Saccharomyces cerevisiae S288C: one gene and its partners. Changing the gene in region 4 together with the main gene of any one other region gives a genetic interaction. Each region holds a gene or a part of one and is shown on either strand. Other genes may lie near its edges. The genes, in order: NUP188, NUP133, ASM4 and POM34.

Region 1 (7,101 bases), on a different chromosome or scaffold from region 4:
TTTGCGCGTTCCCATCTTGTATTAAACCCTCGACAGACTTCAATTCTTTATCAACATCCACAGTATTCGAACTTTCCGGTACGATATCAACAAATCTTGGCTGAGGTTTCGGTAAATCAGGCAAGGATTTGAAGAATACGAAGTACGCAAAGATGCAGACATTAAGAAAGAACCCCAGCGAAAAAGTGATTACCGACCATTGTATCATTGATATTAAGTAAAACAAAACTAAAATCAATCGAAACTGTGGAAACTTAGGCATACGATATCATATCAGAAGGCACAAACACGCGCACTTATGGCGCTTTCAAAGCATGAGAGTCTTCGGTTAATTTACTTATCTTATTGTTTACATATTTTTGAAGTTCGTAAGGCGATGAAAAAAAAAAGTACACAATGGATAGAACTGGGATGGAAAAAGCTCATACAGTCGCAGTCCGCAGTATAGCAACAAAGGGCCACCCTTGCACTTGCACTGTTCATTATTATATTATGTAGCTTTACATAACCTGCAAAATAAGTTAAACGTCCTTAAATAGTGAATCTTGTAATGCTTTAATGTCTCTGCTGATACCCTTGACGAACTCCAATCTGCTTGATTCATCCTCCAACTGCTGTTGCTCTTCTAAAGTTGTAGGTATTATTCTTGAATTCAAGTATTTTGGATGTGTTAGAAACTTGCTTAATGCAGCGCTTAACCTTTTTTTATCATGTTCAGAATCTAGACCAATAACCAATTCTACAGCTTCTTGTTGATCATCAGAGTTTTTAGGCTGAATAAACAATTCTTGGTAATTTAGCAAGTTTAGCATTTTTTGCAATAAAACCAATTGATTCGTTTCCTTTATCAACGAACTTGACACTGCTAACTTGTTGTCACCCCAGTTATATATTGTAGATTTTATTTGTTTTCCAAAATATGAAACAAATAGGCACGTCTCAGGTAAAACCTTGATACCGAACTGACTTAATAGTAGTAGAACAATGGATAACAAACCATTGCTCCAAATGTTGTGCAATCTAGGCGAAAATTCAGGTTTTATATCACCTTGCTGTATTGCAACAGATAGTGGACTTTCCAATAGAACGCTATACAATCCACTGTTGATGAGTTTTGCAGCAATTGGCTCAATAGAACACAATTCGGAGATAAAGGTCAGAGTAATTTGCCCAAGAATTGGTTCATCGTTAATCCTTATCAAATGCGCGCTTGAATATAGGTTCAGTATAACTTTCAAAGTTCCTACTTCGTTTAGGGATGATGCTAGAATAACATTGAAGTTTTTAGAGGGATTCACATTGGTGATCTTCTTGAAGAGTGATAATAATAACAATAAATCCTGAGTATTATCCTCCAAGTTGACAATTTGGGTGGTGTGATCGGTGCTTAAACCCCTCGTGGAGCATTTATTGATCTGACATAATATCTCAGACAGTATCAAATAAACACCCTTACTAAACACTAATTCAAAAAATTCCAGTAGTTGATCAGATATTAATTCGATAAAACGATCTCCTGACGAGACTAACTCGAGAAGAACTAAGACAGATCTCAAAAGAGGTCTATAAAAGTTATTTTTTAGTGACTTACCAATATTTTTAATAAAGTCAATCTCACCAGATTTGAAAATTGTAAAAATCTTGTTCATCAATTCAATTATCTTTTCTTCCTTCAACAATTTTCCCGACAACTTGAACGAATATAAAATGTAAAACGACAACTCAATTCTTTCCAGATATATTTGGGTAAACATTTGTTTATCTGAACCAAAATCAATATTTAACTTGAGGAAATGCTCTACCAAGTCGACAAAACCATCATTTAACGGAACAGTGCTCCTCTTCACAAACGTGGTGATTAGTGCGCCCCATGCTTTTGCGGTAGATATTTCGTAATTGACATACTGCAAATTTAATGAAGCGTCTGTTATTTCCTCCTTAAAATTTGTCTGACTCTTACTTGGTTCGTTCCAACTACGGTCAGCTTTTAAAACTATATCTAATAACGGAATATCATAACCGAAATTCTCATTTTCGTTTATTCTGGATAATGGAATTTTTTGGAACGACTGAAGCTCTAAACTGGGCCATTTCTCTTTAAATTTTAAGTTTAATTCATCATGAAAAGTTTTATTGAACCCATCAATTTGGAAGAAATGATGAACTAATTCAAACAAGTCTTCCTGATTCAAAAAATTTAAAATTTCCGAGTTTGAATCAGTGGAGTTGTAAATACACAACGCAAATATTTCTACAATCCTTGAGATCAATTTGTATTTCTTAATCAAAGAAACAGTTTCGTCACGAGTCAAATTTTCCTTTTTCTGAAATAATTTTTTTGAGTCCTTCAACTTAGCCAATAAGGAATTCACAAATTTAGGATCTTTTATGAATATTTTAGAATTTGTCCAAGTGTTTAAAACATATGTTATCGTTTCTAATAACTTGCAACTTACTTCTTCAGGCGTTGAATCTAATAGTAAAGAATTCTTTTGCAAAACAGTTAATATAGAACTCTTTTTGTCTATGGAGGATTCGTCATTAATTTTTTTATTGGAGGCAAATTGACCTGTTAAGAAGAGGATAGATAACCCATCTTGTTTACTTTCTAATAGGGTAGTAAAAAAAATGTACAAACTTCGGAGAAGGTTCCAATCTTGCACTGGAGAGCTCAGGTCCGACAGGACTTCTTTCAAAAATGCCATTGACTTTGCTTCACCAAGGAAAGATAACAGAAATGGATAGTCGTCATTCCAAGGAGCCTCTACTAAATAGCTTAACAACTCTATGATCTGCACTTTGAAATGAACATAACTTGGTAGGGTATAAACGTCAACCAATTTTGATGAATTTATGAAAAGCAATTTTTCCAGGTTGCTTGGCTTTAAATCACGATTGCTACCTCGAATAGCGATCAAAAGCGTGCACAGCTTGAAGGAGTTATTCATTACCTTGCTATATAAATTACCCAAAATTTTGTCGCCTAAAATTTTTGTTGTGGTATTCAATGGTGAAATCAGAATATTCGTCAAAGTATTTGGAGCCAAATCAATGGAATCCATGGGAGTCAAAAATAACTGCAACAATTTGTTTGCTGACGAGGAAATGATTAACTGATCCTTTTGATGTGGATTTATGGTGAAAACGTCATGAAGTACATCATAAAAAATTAATGTCAAATGGAAGGCAATTTCGAATTTTTGTAAGAAGTTGTTGTACTTCCAGTTGTAATAACTCTCAAAGATATGAATTGCATGTAGAATCAACTTATTAATAATATCAATTTTACTTCTCTTGGAAATATGGATATTTTTCAATGAGAGAGATTCTCGAATAAAGACTTTTGTTAGCTTAAGCAATTGGATAGTGAATGTGTAATCCCCCGTAGATAATTCAACCGAACCGAGTATCATATTGGAAAGACCAGTCTTACCATATTTGTCTAACAAATCCGATTTGTTCAAGTAAGAAGAAACAAGATGAAGGTAATTCGGTGTCAGCATAGTCATAAATTCACAACATTGTACAATTGAGGTATAATCTTTTCTTTGTAGTGATATTTCAAAAATCTCGAAAATTACTTGGATAATCGACGCTCCATTTATGGTGCTGGCTGAAGTATCCAGAGAATTTGATAAATATGACAGAATTTCACTAGATTTCTCGATCGAGGTTTTCGGATCGACAACGTTAGTGACTAACTTTATTATGGATATCATCAATTCATGTTGTAAGTCATCCAGTTGTGTACCCTTTTCCATATATGAATGTAATAGATTTTGCAATATTCTACCCACCAAAGACCAACCATTGAATTTGTAAAGGAAAATAATCAAATTGGAAGTAGTTGGCGGCTGTTGTCCATTCTGTTGTTGTTGTTGTTGTTGTTGTTGTTTGATAGTAAGAATTTTTCCCTTTGTTGATTTTGGTATTGACAAGAGACAATTAGAGTTTTCGTTTTCTAAGGGTGGCGCCACTAGTAAATCAGACTTCAACTCTATCAAATCAGGCACTATAATATCGGAGGATGAAGAAGAGTTTGTTATTGTATCAGCAATTAAGTCATAATCCAAATCGTTCAAACTACTTTTGGTAACAGCAAATGAACATATATCTTTTAATTCAAAATTGGCAAACTCGGTATCAATTAAGGCTAAATTAATTAGCGGGATCAGTGATTCGTTCAATAGGGGCAATTTAGCCTTTATGATGCTCAATTTTTTCTCAAAAGTGTCATTAGTTAAGAAATTCTCAATGAACTGCTCTGGTGCCTTTGAAATTATCTTGGCGAAAACCCGGGAAGTAGATGCAGTTATAGGAATAAAATTTAAAGAAAACTCCAAAAATACTGTTATTACTGTGGTGTAAACAGGATCAAAGGATAGAATTTCTGAGAGAGTATTCAATTTTTGAAGAACATCATGTGATTCAGCAAACAGAGCAAATTTCGTTATGTCTGAATCATCAAATGATTCCGACGATTGTAATGCTCGCCTATAATAAAGTATAAATGACCAGGAGTAATGAATCATTGGATGGAAAATGGGGTCCTCGTTGACGATATTGGTTGCTACATCATTCTCTAGAGCGCTATTGACGGTGTCGAAAGTTTCTGTATCCATGTACAAAGGTGACTGAATATCAAATTGCGCGATTGAAGTGTTCAGTCCAAGTATCAATATAGTTGTGATAGTAAATAAAGATGAAATCCTGGAAATAAGCGTTTCTGAGAGGTAACTGAGGTCTTGGAAATTCTGAAACTTGTACAATTGTAGTGACGAGGTATCTATACTCTTGTCTGTTGAATTTATATTTCTGCAAAATTCAACAAATTGATTTTGATACTGTAGAAACCATTGATTGACGATATCTACTGGTACTTTTGTGTTGAGGATCATTAAATTCAAAATTTGTAATATCTGCAAGATAAACTTCAAATCAGAAAATTTTTTTAACTGCACCAATGAGACAATTGTGAACATGTCTTGATCGTTATTATAATCATGTGCTAAAGATGAAGCTGTAATAATGTCGTAGTTCTGGATTACAGATGATATTATAGAAATCAATTTCCCCACTACATTGAATCTATCGTTGTCAATAAATGAATATGTCTCGAGGTCGATGTCAGGGTTAACGAGAAGTGAGTATACTATATGAAGTCTAGATGATCTCTCAGACATAAAGAATTCTACAGCATGAGAAAGGTCCTCAGATTGAGCAAAGAATGGATCATTATCGACGTTTATTTGCAATAAGTTTGCAATTGTAGAGCGTAACTTGTTATGATCGCCGGAAGAAGTTACATTCTGCCTTATTGTGTTCAGACTCTCGATAAGATTTGTCTTGTTAGCTTTCAAAAACTGTCTTATTTGGGCCAATTGCTTGGCATCCACAGCGGATACATCAGCAGCAGCATCGTTCATAAAATTAGCAACATGAGTGAAGGTCAATTGTGGAGAGGAATTGCCAAATGAAGGTGTAGCCATGGCTGATGGGGTCCTTTTTTTAGCGGTGGAAAGGGTTATCTCTTTATTTGTGTTTCTGTTCGAATATTAAAGATGTCTCAAAGTATTCATTTCAAGAAGAAAATTTTTGGTATTACAAAATATTCTTACCCGGAATATATACATATATACCTTAACTACAAGCAGGAGCCGGCTTTCTGGCAAGGAGGGAGAAGACATAGATTGTTTGCGTATATATGTGGGAATAGCGTCCAAGCACGCCCGTGGCTGAGGGAGCACCACGATCGTTCGGTGTACTTGACACCTCTATATGGTATGTTCTTCCCTGATATTGATATCAGCACAATTACGGCTCTAAGAAACGATGAATATAAAAAACGTTAATTAGGAATTTGACATATGTGCTAGTATTCGGGCCCCTGAGCAAGTTTGTGCGCACGACGCCTGTCCGTTGCTGCACATGCTTGCGTGGGGCCTTTTTGTCGTGTTTTTATTTAGGGACTGTTATCGAAGGAATAGATTTCTGTGGTGAAAAGTAGAAAACTACTAGCTTTTATAGACGGTGGGGGAGAAAAAGGAAAATTAGAATTGAAAAAAATTTGAAAAAATATGAAAATGTGAAAAGGACGCCTTATTTCCTTGGGTTGCCCGGCGAACACGTTAGTTAACTCGCTGTCTAACTGATGGGCTATTATTATAGCGTTATAGTACGTATCAGAATTTAAAAGAAGGAGGCAGAAAAGCTTAGAGCAAAGGGGCAGGACAATGGAAGCTTCACATTTGCAAATCTACTGGCATGATTCACAACCCGTTTACTCGCTCACATTCCAAAAGAACAGTGCGAACGACAAGCTTTTCACCGCTGGTGGTGATAACAAGGTTAGGATATGGAAGTTGAACAGAGATGAAAACGGACAAAATGGGGGGGTGCGTAAGATTGAAAGCCTTGACTTTCTTGGCTCGCTGACGCATCACGAACAGGCCATAAATGTAATCCGATTCAACTCGAAGGGTGACGTACTGGCGTCTGCGGGCGATGACGGCCAAGTGCTGCTATGGAAGCAAGAAGATCCAAATACACAGCAAGAATCTGTGGTCAGACCATTCGGAATGGATGCGGAGACTAGTGAAGCAGACGAGAACAAGGAGAAATGGGTTGTGTGGAAACGGCTGCGTGGTGGTAGCGGTGCTACTGCGGCGGCAGAGATTTACGATCTAGCGTGGTCACCTGATAACAGGAACATAGTGGTGGCATGTATGGACAATTCGATACGACTGTTCGATGTTGGAGCTGGGATGCTGGTATGCGGCCAGTCGGATCATGGTCACTACGTCCAAGGTGTTGCATGGGACCCATTAAATCAGTTTATTCTCTCACAGTCTGCGGACCGGTCTCTGCATGTATATGGAGTCATTCTTTCATCTGCAGGAGTGGTTACAGGGCTGAAACTTAGAAGTAAGATTGCCAAGGCAGAACTGCCTTGTCCAGGTGATGTCCTGAGGACAAATTACCTTTTTCACAACGAGACGCTACCTTCATTCTTTAGGCGATGCAGCATATCGCCTTGTGGTGGTTTGGTCGTAATTCCCAGTGGTGTGTATAAGGTGGCTGGTGATGAAGTCGCGAACTGCG
Region 2 (5,892 bases), on a different chromosome or scaffold from region 4:
GGTTTGAAAAACTCATAATTCAGACAGTTATTATGGATTCAATAGATGAACAAATTGCTATAAAGCGAAAAGAACTTCAGTCATTACAAAAGATAACCAGTTTAACGGATGGCTTAAAAATTCAGCTAACAGAGTTGAATGAGCAGATCAAAGAAATGGGAATGAATGCGGATTCAGTGGCCCAATTGATGAACAATTGGGATTCTATAATAAACAATATATCGCAAGCAAGTTTGGGATTATTGCAATATGCAGAGGGTGATTATGAGATAGGACCGTGGAAAGATTCTAAGAAAAAGGAATCTGAACAATCAAATGAAACAGGTCTTGAAGCGCAAGAAAATGATAAGAATGATGAAGATAATGATGAGGATGAAGATCTGGTACCCTTGCCGGAAACAATGGTCAGAATTAGGGTAGATGGTAACGAATGAACAGAAAGAAAAGGATCTTATATAAATCGGAAGAAGGCAGTTGCGATAATAGCATATACATATTTATTATTATCATTCCCCAGTAAAGTTTATTATATATATGTAAAATTGTATTATAGATATTAGTATTCTACAGTGTTGGTTTCATAGTTGATGGTATAGTTTTTTTCTTTCGCTACAGAACCAATAGTCGAGTGCAACTTTATCTCGAGTGAGTTGTCTGAGTTCAACGTTTCCACTTGAGATATTTCTTCATATATCTCTTCACGTATGGCATTCTGATCAATAGGAAACCTGCCATATGTTTCGCTTATGTATTCTGGCGTCAGTAACGATTTGTCACATAAAAGATCCACACTGGGCAAGGGGAAATCATTATTTTTGGGTAGTTCTTCATCAAAAACACGTTTGACTATATGCTGAAGCAGTTTATCTCCTTCATTACTAGCATTTAGTAGAACGATTCTTCTCCATACCAAAGCATTCAAGAACTTTTTAACTTCAAAATTCAGTAAGTTTCCATCAACAGAAAGAAGCCTTAGCGGTATGAATAAGCTCTCTTCATCGTCGAGCATAGAATACAACTCAACGAGATCCGATAGATTGACTACTGTTGTTGATTTAAGCTCTTCCACTAATATGTTGAAAACTTCCCTGATAGAGCCATTCTTGAAGCGTTTACATATCTGAACTTCGCCCTTTTTCAATTTGTTTGAAATATTTTTCTCAGCATCAATTGTATCTAAATTATATTGGATCTTTCTCAAAGTATTAATGTCCAAATTATCCTTTTCAACTAGCAACGAGCTTAATTTTGCAACATTCAAGTGCAATTCACATTCGCTCAAGCTTTCGCCCTTCTTTGAATCATCAACAGTAATGTTTTTTAAAGTATTCATGGCATCTGCGTACGACCCATCCAGAATCTGTTGGATCCATGCTACATGACCGTACTTTGGAGCGGACTCTTGGAAAAACTGTATTAAAACATCGTGTTGTTGTGGGAACCTGAAGATGAGGTCGTTCAATTTTTTATGCTTGATTAAATATTCAAATAATGTAAAGCTAAACTCTTTAGGGAATTCGTTGAAGAATGTTTCGTATAGCGATACGGTTGTTGAGTCATTTTGATCTAAAGTTTGTAATGTTTGCACCAATCCAGATAAATCTTTGTAAAATTCTGCTATTTGAATACACTGTTCTTTTAGATTTACCTTACAAAGGACGTGGTTCCAATCCAGGTGGTTATCATCATAAAGATTGTTGATATTTATAAAATTATCATTGGCGTTCACAGATTTAACGGGTTGCGTGTTGATCCATATTTTAAATTGGTTGAACTGATAATATAAAATTTTCACAATCTTTAACAAGCCCTCTTTATAAGAATCCAGACTTCCTTCCTCCTCACACGCAAATGTAAAATCAAAAAAACATTGATTGATACAGTTTAAGTAATCAAAGTTTATGAACCATGGTAGCTTGGATGTATCAACCTCCATCGGGTCTAACTCCAAAAGTTCATACCTTATAGTTTTTTCACCTTCTTCAAGAATTCCATCATAAAAGCATAAGTTGATTAAATTGGTAACATTTAGTTTGAAATTTTGATTTTGTGATGGGAACAAAACAAACACAACATGGTTTAAAAATTGTTTAAAGATTACTGGAAATACGTCGGGACTGTTGATTACAACTGTTTTAGTAGTTAAGTGTTCATTTTGTGTCAGATTATAGTTTGATAAAGTCTTCTCCCATATATCGTTCAATACATCAGATTGTCTGATGATACTATTGAACTTAATACAGCAATTCAAGATCTCAAATTTTTCGATCAGATCCAATTTCAGTTCGGGTGATATTTTATAGTTGAAGTTCTTAGCAACAAATGTCAGGAAATTTTGAAAAAATTCTTTACGGACAGAGAGATGTTGCCCCAACGTATTTAGCATAGGGGGTATGTACTTGCCGTTGGAATGAAAAATCTCCTCGCTGGTTAATTTTAAATCATGCTCTATAGATTCTTGATCTAGTGAAATTTCTGGAGGTAAATTGAAATCTATGGGATTTGCATTTATTTTGGAGAAATAAACAGCTTGATCAACATGAGATTTGACAAACCCAACTTCCGGTTTAGAATTTGTTTCCTCATTCTCTTTCACAAAAAACTGTAGCACCCCCATTTGTTTCGTTAAAACATACAAAGATTTTGAGTCGTAACCAGAACCAATTATATCAATGTCATTTCTAAGGCTAACAATATCTTCCCACTTTCTTCTCATTGAATAGCTAGAGTCCAATTTTGAGTTCACCTGAGTAATGACAACAGCATTGGGGAACATTACCAAAATGGAAGTTACCTCATTGGTATCGTTAGCATTCTCCATCTGAGGTATAAATATCTTAGGCTTAAACTTTGTGTCGGTTATTGACTCCATAAAAGTGTTCAATCTATAAGTGGAAAAAATAGTAAAACTATTAGAAGAAGAATCGAAGATAATCGTGGAAAGAATATAATATGTTTCATTGCATGAACTGTCGTAAATAGATGACAGGAAAAGTTGTGAACTTTCATCTTGTAATGGATGAGAGTCCCAAATCTTCAACGTACCATGAGCAAATGGATACAAATCCTGGAGCGACTCTAAAATGGCTTCGTAAATGTTTACATCAATCAATTTTGTTGGATGGGAATTCGTGGCAGACAACTGCCATGTTTGAAAAATTCCTTTGTTAGTAGTAATATATACTAACCTTGTCCCCTTACCGAGGATAGGTCCATTTCGTAATGAGACAACTGAACTGTTTGTATTGAAAATTTTGGACCAGATACCCAATTTGAAAGGTTTATTTAATAGTTTGCCTAACTTCAGTTGAGGTTTACCCATGGAATTTCTAATGGTTATAAAAAATATTCTGCCCATATTTGTAGAAAGCACTATACCAGCAGGTTCGCAGTTTAACATTAGGTCACACTTCTCTCCGCCCGAAGAGTTGATGGGTAATTCTAACTCGTGAGAGAATTTTTCAGATAACTTAAAGTTCAAATTATTTATGGAGTTGATATCCTCATAATATATCGCTTTGCTACCTTTGATAATGATAAGCCCTCCGGTTTCGTCCTGATCATTAGGATTCAGTGCTAATGGAGACTCATCCATTGTAGCAGGGAAAGTTAGTATGCACCTGGGCGCGACTGCTATTTCATCATTATCATCAGAACGAAATGGTACAGTTATATAGGGCGTATCCTTTTGAGTGGAGTGAATATTCCAGATGTAAACCTTCTTGTGGTCATTGACTAGTCCATATCCAATTTGCATATCGATATATCCATTCAATTCGTCATCGTTACTGAATCCGCTACTGTAGTCTGTTTGAAGGGTTTTTACTATGTATCTGTTATTTTCTGTGAAAACCTTGGAATTATCAAAGTGCGAATGTAACCTTAACTGTTGCTGCTCCATGGAAATGTCCATTAGAGAGGCCTGGCTTTCCTCTTCATAAGACAACTGCGCCAGGGATTCGTTTTCAACCACCGCAATGGGTACGCTAAGTTCCTTCCGCAAACGAAGATGTACTTTTTTTTCACTCATATGGCTATCCTAATGTACTTCACTTGAATTGGATGTAACAGTATGCTCGAGCTCCTCTAAACCTTATTCCTAAATGGTGTATGTTTTGGTTTATTCTGCTATTTTGATTCCTAAATCCTCAAATATATCGTTTTATACGATTTGAAAATTTTTCATTTTTTTGCGATGAGCTAAGGATCGAATTTTCTTATAGTGTAATGCATTATTGGAAAGTGATTTGGTATATCGATGAGTTGTATTGAAGTTATCATATCCAAAAGCGCAGGAGAACACTGGCAGAAAAAATGATTAGAACCGTAAAACCCAAGAATGCAAGAGCCAAGAGAGCTTTGGTAAAGAGGGAAGCTAAGTTGGTAGAGAATGTCAAGCAAGCGCTATTCATTCCAGGGCAAAGCTGTAACAAGAATCTGCACGATATTATGGTAGATTTGAGTGCCTTGAAGAAGCCAGATATGAAGAGGTTCAATCGTAAGAATGATATTCATCCTTTCGAAGACATGTCGCCACTAGAGTTCTTTAGTGAAAAGAATGACTGTTCATTGATGGTGCTGATGACAAGTTCCAAAAAGCGTAAAAACAACATGACCTTTATACGTACATTTGGCTACAAAATATATGATATGATTGAACTAATGGTTGCAGATAATTTCAAGTTGTTATCTGATTTTAAGAAATTAACATTTACTGTAGGGTTGAAGCCTATGTTTACATTCCAAGGTGCTGCATTTGATACACATCCCGTATACAAGCAAATTAAATCTTTGTTTTTAGATTTCTTTAGAGGCGAATCTACTGATTTACAGGATGTTGCGGGATTACAACATGTCATTTCCATGACCATTCAAGGTGACTTCCAAGATGGTGAGCCATTGCCGAACGTTCTATTCCGTGTTTACAAATTAAAAAGTTATAAAAGCGACCAAGGTGGTAAGAGATTACCACGTATTGAATTGGTGGAGATTGGGCCACGTCTAGATTTCAAAATCGGCAGAATTCATACTCCAAGTCCAGATATGGTCACTGAAGCTCACAAGAAGCCAAAACAATTAGAAATGAAGACAAAGAAGAATGTAGAATTAGATATCATGGGTGATAAATTGGGTAGAATCCATATGGGCAAACAAGATTTGGGTAAACTACAAACAAGAAAGATGAAGGGTTTGAAATCCAAATTCGACCAAGGAACTGAAGAAGGTGATGGAGAGGTAGATGAAGACTACGAAGATGAAGCGTCGTATTCGGATGATGGACAAGAATACGAAGAAGAGTTCGTCAGTGCCACTGATATTGAGCCCTCTGCTAAAAGACAGAAGAAATAAGACCCATAAACTTTGTATATTATATGATAATCTAAGAGAGGAGAATTCTATATGTATGTAGTAAGTACATTACAAATGATCTTTCTTTTTTTCCCTTATTTTTATGTATTCTGTTTTACCTATGCTTATTTGAACAGCCACAAATGTTCTATTTTTCTTTAGACAGTTCTACGTTCCTTACTAAACGTAACATGTTTCTCAACAACATTGCAATGGTAACTTTACCAGTCATTGGAACGTAAAGAGAAGCTTTTTCCTTGACATCATCGCTAAAATTTTTGGTGCATGCAAAATTGATGCAGACGGCACCTTCTTTGATGTATTCGGTGGGGAATTTGTAATTTTCACTAGGGACACCAGTGATGACCACATCTGAATCAAGAGAACACTTTTTCAACAGATCTTCAGAGTACTCCCCAAGGTCTTCCACATGATGCTTGTTTAATTTCAAACTTTCACCACGGGTGAATTTTTGAATGTTGTTAACGTCCACAGAGTATACTGTGGCACCGTCATTGGCTAATAGCGCCGCCAGTGGTCTAC
Region 3 (4,051 bases), on a different chromosome or scaffold from region 4:
CAGAAAGTGTGCCAGGATCCCGTGAAACCAGAATAAAGGATTATGGAGGCATTTCTCAAGTATCTGACCATCAAAGTCATCCCATTGGTTTTCATTATTCTCCTAGAATGTCCCCATATTATAGGGATAAAGTTTTGGATAACAATTTGGCTCAATCATCGTCAAATGAAAATTTAGAGAAGGGCGGAGCTTACCTGCCGAATCAAGACCAAAATAGACCATCGAAATCCCTGAGCCCATTGAGAAAAACGCCTTTAAGCGCACGACAGAAAAGGTTTGAAGGCTCAGAGTTCAATGTATTGAATAAGAATGATATTAATTCCATTCTTCGCTCTCCAAAGAAAAAGAAGAACTATCACAAAAGATAACGTTTCTTAATTATGTCTAAGTATATACAGTTACGTAAAAATCAATAAACAAAAGTAAAACAATGCTGTTTGAAAAGTTATCAAAATAATAAATGTATGAAGTATTGTAAATGTTCATGAATAATTAGCTGGACGATTTCTGTTATAGGTCATTCCAACCAAATAACCAATTACTCAGTTTGTGCGTAAAACCAGCAGGTTCATTATTTCTGTATTTCGCTTCTTGCTGACGCATTTTCGATTCTAGGTTTCGCAACAGATTAGGAATATTCGAATTCGGTCCTGCATTTTGCATGAATGGCAATTTGCCATCTATTACATCCAGCCGCTTATTCGGAGAATTTGCTACTATTGGACTTGAAATATTTGTTGGATTACCAGCATGACCGGCAGGAGTATTATCGTCTTCCCTCAGAAGAGTGCCATCAGTTATTATTACGTTTGGTGGGGATGGTGTATTAGATGTCGACGATGTGGAGGAATTTTGATACATAGAAACGTTGAATTCTCCAATGTCGTCGACATTATCAATTTTGCAGCCAGCTAATTGCTCCACCGCATTTTTTGAATATGGGATGCAACCAATCAAAGAACCGCGAAATATGGTTCCATTTTCCTGCAGTGCTCTCAAAGCAGAAGATGGAGAATTATAAGTGAGTTTGACCCAACTTTCACCAGTAAATATTGGATATTTTTTGTTATTCGACTCATTATTTCTGCCTTTTAAAGTAATAGATTTATTAACAGTAGAATCGTTTTCATCACAGCCTGTATCATGATTATGGAATATTCTGAAGGTGTTGGGGTTAATCCCGCGACCCAATCGCAATACTTGAAAGTCTTCCATAATATGACCGAAATGGGAGAAGTGTTCAATCAATTCATTGGAAATTGATTCAGGATAGCCAAATACGATAATTGCGCTCAAACTAGAAGACTTGGAAGATGTTTCATGGACTTTATTGTTTGTTTCGGCGGTGTTGTAATTATTATCTAAATGGTTCTGTTCAATGTTTGCTATTCTAACATAAGAGTCTTTATCAAAAACATTTGGAGTATTTTTGGAATCATAAGCTGACCTATTTGTTTTCTTCGCCGTGTATTTGTCGGTAACAAACTGAGTTGTTAATGATGGAATAGAACCGAATTCATCCTCGCGTTGCCAATCCTGTAAAGTAACGGAGGGTGGAATATCGTTAAAATTTGACAACAGAGAATTGATGTCATTATTTGCCGCAGACTTATTTCTTTCATTATGCTTGGAATCTTGATTTTGCTTACTGAAATTTCTCATAGTAGCGTTCATAGAAGATGAATCATCATTCTGGTTGATGTCAGAAGAAGAATTTTGCTTTGTTGTCTTCCTTCTTATCACCGTATGAGGAGTGAATCTCTTTTTAGGATTATTCACCCAGCTAGGATTATTCCCTTGGCCATGTTGGCTTATGTTATTTGTGCCGTTTTTAATGTTGTTGTTGTTGATGCTATTGTTACCGATATTACTACTATAGTTATTGGCGTTTACAGTATTGGAAAGTGAGTTTCCAAATCGTAAAGAACTTGCATCGGATGATCCATTGAATTGCAAGTGTTGCTGCTGTTGTTGTGGTTGCGGTTGCGGTTGTGGCTGCAACTGTGATTGCGATTGAAACATCTGGGTTGTCTGTGGTGCTTGCGACGTGAGGTTAGTAAATCCACCGTTATTATTGCCTGAACGTATTCCAAACATTTTAATTTGCCGTTCCTTGTTTTCAGGTTACAGAGAAAAAAAAAAAAAGAGAGCGAATAAAAAACTTAAATAGATAGGGAAACGATATGTCTACCTTATCGGGAAATAAACTATGCAGAGGTATGTGTGTGATATTCACAAACCTTTCTTCTTTCATAAGTACTCTCCTTCGAACAAAATTTTTCTAGCATCATTTTTTTATGTATGGCCCTACACAAAGCGTCTTCCGGGTAGTGTAGTAGCTGTCTTGCTGGCGTTAGTTGTCCGGTTATTCTTCATTAGCCGATCATAATCCTCTCTCATCTTGACATATCCCAGATGAATCTTCCCCAAGAAGTGGTCAGCAAGCCTTCTGTCTGTATCTAAACGCGATAGGTATGCCCCACACACCTCGCAAACCTGTAACTTTTGCTGGGCGCTCTGGCCCACGTTTTCTGTAATGTTTCGTACACGTTTTGCAACTTCTTTCCTTTTACTAATCAGTTCTTGTAATTTGACTGACTGTAGCATACCCATACTGACTTCATCTGCACGAATTAAAGAATCAATCTCTTGTCCCATTAGGCCTATCCGCACGTCCAAGACATCTAGTTCTTCGGTAACCTGCTGAATCTTCATTCGTTCCTCAGCGGTGTGTTTTAGATTTTGTAGTGCTACGGATATCTGGCCATTACACTCATTAACAAACCGAGATAGAATGGCCAGATATTCTCTTTCGAATTCGGGAAACGTTTTGCCCTGCTTGACCTCTCTCTCGTACTGAATTTTATGCTTGGTAAGATGCATCTGCGGGCATTTTCCCAGGCTCTGCTTGGTGCCCTGAAACAGGTCGTAGGGGCACTCGCCAACAAGGTATGACTTGCAGATCTTGGGATCGTGTAGTCCGAGGTCTCTTTTTTGATGCGAATACCTGTTGTGGCGGAAACTGAAGTCCCTGCCCATCAGCTGTTCGACGAGTTTGCGTTGTTCTGCGGCAGGCGTTGACATAGTTGACATTCTGACGGTAGTTGGCAGCTTTCTGCTGGGAGTGTAGAGCCTTTTGTAGTATAACTTTTTGTTCTTTTCTTTCTTCTCTAATGCCTGAGGCTTCGGCGGTTATTCGGGTAATACATTAAGGAAGTTGCCATGATGTGGAAGAATACGACTAGTCAGTTAGCGATGGCCAGCTCCTTTACCTAAATCATGTGGCCTATCTTCAGATAGCATACTACCACCAACCATCAATACCTCAATGGCTTTCAACAAGTACCCTTCGTCGGGTTTTCAGCTTTTTTCCTACTTTGCTGGATGCTTTGTGAAGATCAGGAAGAAATTTTATCGGAAAAACCTCACTAGGAGAAACTATATAAAAGAAGGGTCAGACTGAAAATGACGCCGTAATAAACTCGTGGTAGTAGATAAAGCAAACAATGTTGATTACTGAGACCTTTCATGATGTGCAGACATCATACGGCACCACTCTGCGTATATACGTATATTCTCCTAAGATTGCAGGCTATCCACAAGCTAAGTTTCCTGGGGTGATTCTGTACAGTGAAATTTACCAAGTGACGGGTCCGGTTCGTCGTTTTGGTCAAAGAATTGCGTCTGAAGGTTACGTTGTGGTGGCACCTGCCATATACCACAACTTTATGGGCCCTGAAGCGTTGCCCTATGACGTGCAGGGTACCGATATTGGTAACGAGTACAAGATCAAGAAGCCGTTAGAATCATACGATGAGGACAACAAACTGTGTTGCGATCTACTTTTCCAGTTACCCCAATTCGATGGTAAGAGAATTGGTTCCACAGGAATGTGTTTAGGTGGCCATTTGGCTTTTAGAGCGCTCCTGGACAAAAGGGTTACCTGCGCAACCTGCTTCTTCCCTACCGACATCCATTCCAGAACCTTAGGTCTTGGCCAGAACGATAACTCTTTGGAACGTGTTTCGAAGGAGTTGGGTAATAACCAAGA
Region 4 (3,009 bases):
TCCAACGTATCTAAAAGGGGGTTTGCATACCTCGAAACACTTGCCGTGAACACAACAACTTCGTATAGTTGACTCACCCTGTTCAAGAACTCATCGACGCCTGGCCTCTTAATAACATAGACATTGTGAACTTGATCATCGATTTCGACGGGCAAAACGAAATCAGCTGAATGCATATATTTAAAGGAAGAATGTACCAAAGTTTCGTCTAGATCCAATATCAGACATTTTTTCTGTTGAAATTCTTGCAACTTGGGTGGTAGCAGAGTGTCGTATCCGGGGGCATGGTACTGGTCTGGTTGCAAATGCGTCAGGTCAGAGAAGTCCTCCTCCGTTGTAGGTATCAAGTTTAAATCATTATCAGGACTGCTGGCGACATATTGTGGATTCATATCTTCTTGACCCACCTGATACAGACCCTGTTGTGGTGGCGCCTCGTCATTAATACTGGAATTTCTATCTGCGTCAACGTTATATTCATGAACGACATGGTCTTGCTTTTCTTTTGCTTCGTCATCTTCTTCTTCTTCTTCTCCGGCATTGTTAACCTCCGTCATTTCTACGTCTCCTTCATTATAATCTTCATATTCTTTCTCCTCATCGTACGAGTTGTTGGAGTGATCTCTTGATAAAGGTGCTAGTTTTCCATTGCCGCTATTCCCATTCTCCTGCATTGTCTTGGAACCCGCATTGCTGCCTGAATCGGAACTAGACAAAAGGATCTCCGGTGTGGAATATTGCATCTTGTCGCCGTTTGGAGTAGCCTTCTGCTTACGACCCTGAGTTTGAGCTTTGTTTGAACTGTGCTTACGGTTGCGGTTGCGGTTGTGATTAGTTTCTGGTGGTTGGCGTTGACGATGTGTTTTGGAAGTATCTGAAGAACAGCACAGTATATTTGCTATAAATCCCATCTGATGATGATCTGAAAAAGCTCCCTAAAACAGACAGAGAAGCACTCTTCACTCAGTTTTTATTGCCAAATAAGTGGAAAATTAAAACGAAAGAACTCAAAAGCAGCACTGCGCTCGAAGAAAGATATATCTTAGCTTAAATCCTCTCCAAAAGGGGAGAACGAAGAATATGTGTAAATTAAGCGATGCTTCGTGGGTTTCTTTTACGCGCTGCGAAAAAGATAATCAAATCTCTAAATTTTAGAAATATAAGCCAGTCGGTAGCCCCCACAAGTCAATTATATATGTCAAAGTTCGTGGCACTGTGGACTGCTTTCATAAAGCTTCTCTTTATCTGTTCCTTAGACTGTGAATACTGAGGTTTTCTAAAAAAAAGCAAAAAAAAAAAAAGAGGGTCCAAACCTATTAACTTCAGGGTTTAAGTATCTTTTTTGTAGGTTATAATGTTCTTTTTATAAACCTTTCTCAGGTTATAATAATATTTCTCAGGTCTAATTAGGGCTAAAGTCTAAAGAAAAATGAAAAAAAAAAAAAATGAAATTTGTGCTAATAGTAATAATGATAGAAATAATAACAATTAATAAGATGGTTATGATGAACAAAAAGATTTATATTATAAGAACTTGACAATATACAGACTTTTAATATATCCGCAGAGGCAAAAAAATAATAGAGGGAACTATGAAGATTCAGGCGGGCCAATTGGGCCTGGACGATAATGACGTGCCGGGACCATTGCCGGACACAGACAGCAAACCCTCATCACAATCACAAAATGACACACCAATGTTTAAATTGGGCAACTTTGAAAGTCCTGTGCTCAAGGAGCTATCACGGCGAACGGTAAACAAGGAAATGGAGACGCAGAGAATTATGACAAACGTAATTGCGTTTGCGTTCTGGAACCTGCTGGTGAAGTTCATCAAGTTCTTTTGGAACAACACTCATGTTGGGAGACAGTTTTGCAACCGGCTATCCAGAATCCATCTGTACATGTTGACATTTCACACGTTAAAGAAGGCTAACATCATATATCACACCACGTTCAGTTGGTTGAATGCAGAACTTCTTGACTACTTGTTCCACCTATTAATCTCGCTCAATATACTGTTTTCTCTTTGGAAGCTCTTATCCACCGTCAAAGTAAGTGATTTGAATCTCACTGACAGGCAAAAGAAGCTCCTGGGGGTAGACATGCAATCATCTGTCGATACTGGGTTGCAGCCACAACACCCCCACTACGTATCCACTTCTAAGATCAGCCAAATGGCACAGAACAAAACACATATTCCTCAAACAAATCTCAAAAATCATCCAGCATATCTCTTCAAAGGCTTAGAGACGCCTTTGAAAGCAAGACAAAGGGAAATGGCGGAGGAACAGACGAAACTACAATCTCAATCCTTACACACAAAGAATGTATTTGGCACACTGCAGAGGCATAGCGGTATCAGTAGCACATTAGTGAGCGCTAACAATGACAATAACTCGCCGCATACCCCTGTAACTAGGAAGGGCTACATTCCAAGTAGCAAATATGCATATATGATGAACTCACAGTCCCCAAGGGGGAAAATATAAAAACAGCAAAAAAACATTTAATACTTTCCATAGCTATATATGTTTTCTCTCCTATTTATATTTTACATATGATTAGCGGCAACCATTACCAATAGTTTGGAAATAAGTATCTTAGTCTTTCTAAGGTTTCCTTGGACATAGCCTCTGGTTTGGTAGAGATAGATTTCTTGATGGAACCGCGCAGCCCATCGCCAGTATGCATGAACTCTGGGATTTCCTTGGCCATTGAGACGATGATCTTAGAAGCTAAAATATTTGCATTGCGCCCATTATTCGTCAAATTACCAATAACGGTTTCTACGGTAACAGGTTCTGCCTCATCTCTCCATGCGTCGTAATCGGTAGACATACAAATCATCTGGTAAGGCAGCTCACACTCACGCGCCAATTTGGCTTCTGGAATAACACTCATGTTAATAACATGGCCACCAAACATTCTGTACATCTTGGATTCAGCGCGCGTGGAGAATTGTGGGCCTTCCATACACACAACGGTCATATCCTTGTCGTAATGCAA

Evidence for each region.
Region 1: mutations in POM34 (region 4) and NUP188 together harm fitness more than expected from each alone (negative genetic interaction), as found in Saccharomyces cerevisiae (7 studies listed by BioGRID, with this or other methods).
Region 2: mutations in POM34 (region 4) and NUP133 together harm fitness more than expected from each alone (negative genetic interaction), as found in Saccharomyces cerevisiae (5 studies listed by BioGRID, with this or other methods).
Region 3: mutations in POM34 (region 4) and ASM4 together harm fitness more than expected from each alone (negative genetic interaction), as found in Saccharomyces cerevisiae (7 studies listed by BioGRID, with this or other methods).

Annotation. Positions count from the first base shown.
Region 1 is NC_001145.3:62,061-69,161, forward strand, and holds NUP188 (Nup188p), read right to left. Parts: upstream 5,490-7,101; coding exon 522-5,489; downstream 1-521. Other genes in the region: MDM1 (Mdm1p), read right to left, coding at 1-262; CAC2 (Cac2p), read left to right, coding at 6,234-7,101. UniProt on the Saccharomyces cerevisiae protein: Functions as a component of the nuclear pore complex (NPC).
Region 2 is NC_001143.9:590,963-596,854, reverse strand, and holds NUP133 (Nup133p), read right to left. Parts: upstream 4,031-5,892; coding exon 557-4,030; downstream 1-556. Other genes in the region: DAD2 (Dad2p), read left to right, coding at 33-434; rRNA-binding ribosome biosynthesis protein RPF2, read left to right, coding at 4,315-5,349; MTD1 (methylenetetrahydrofolate dehydrogenase (NAD(+))), read right to left, coding at 5,498-5,892. UniProt on the Saccharomyces cerevisiae protein: Functions as a component of the nuclear pore complex (NPC).
Region 3 is NC_001136.10:297,907-301,957, forward strand, and holds ASM4 (FG-nucleoporin ASM4), read right to left. Parts: upstream 2,098-4,051; coding exon 511-2,097; downstream 1-510. Other genes in the region: NUR1 (Nur1p), read left to right, coding at 1-368; LUC7 (Luc7p), read right to left, coding at 2,308-3,093; YDL086W (carboxymethylenebutenolidase), read left to right, coding at 3,507-4,051. UniProt on the Saccharomyces cerevisiae protein: Functions as a component of the nuclear pore complex (NPC).
Region 4 is NC_001144.5:178,190-181,198, reverse strand, and holds POM34 (Pom34p), read left to right. Parts: upstream 1-1,592; coding exon 1,593-2,492; downstream 2,493-3,009. Other genes in the region: PSR2 (putative phosphatase), read right to left, coding at 1-911; MEU1 (S-methyl-5-thioadenosine phosphorylase), read right to left, coding at 2,578-3,009. UniProt on the Saccharomyces cerevisiae protein: Functions as a component of the nuclear pore complex (NPC).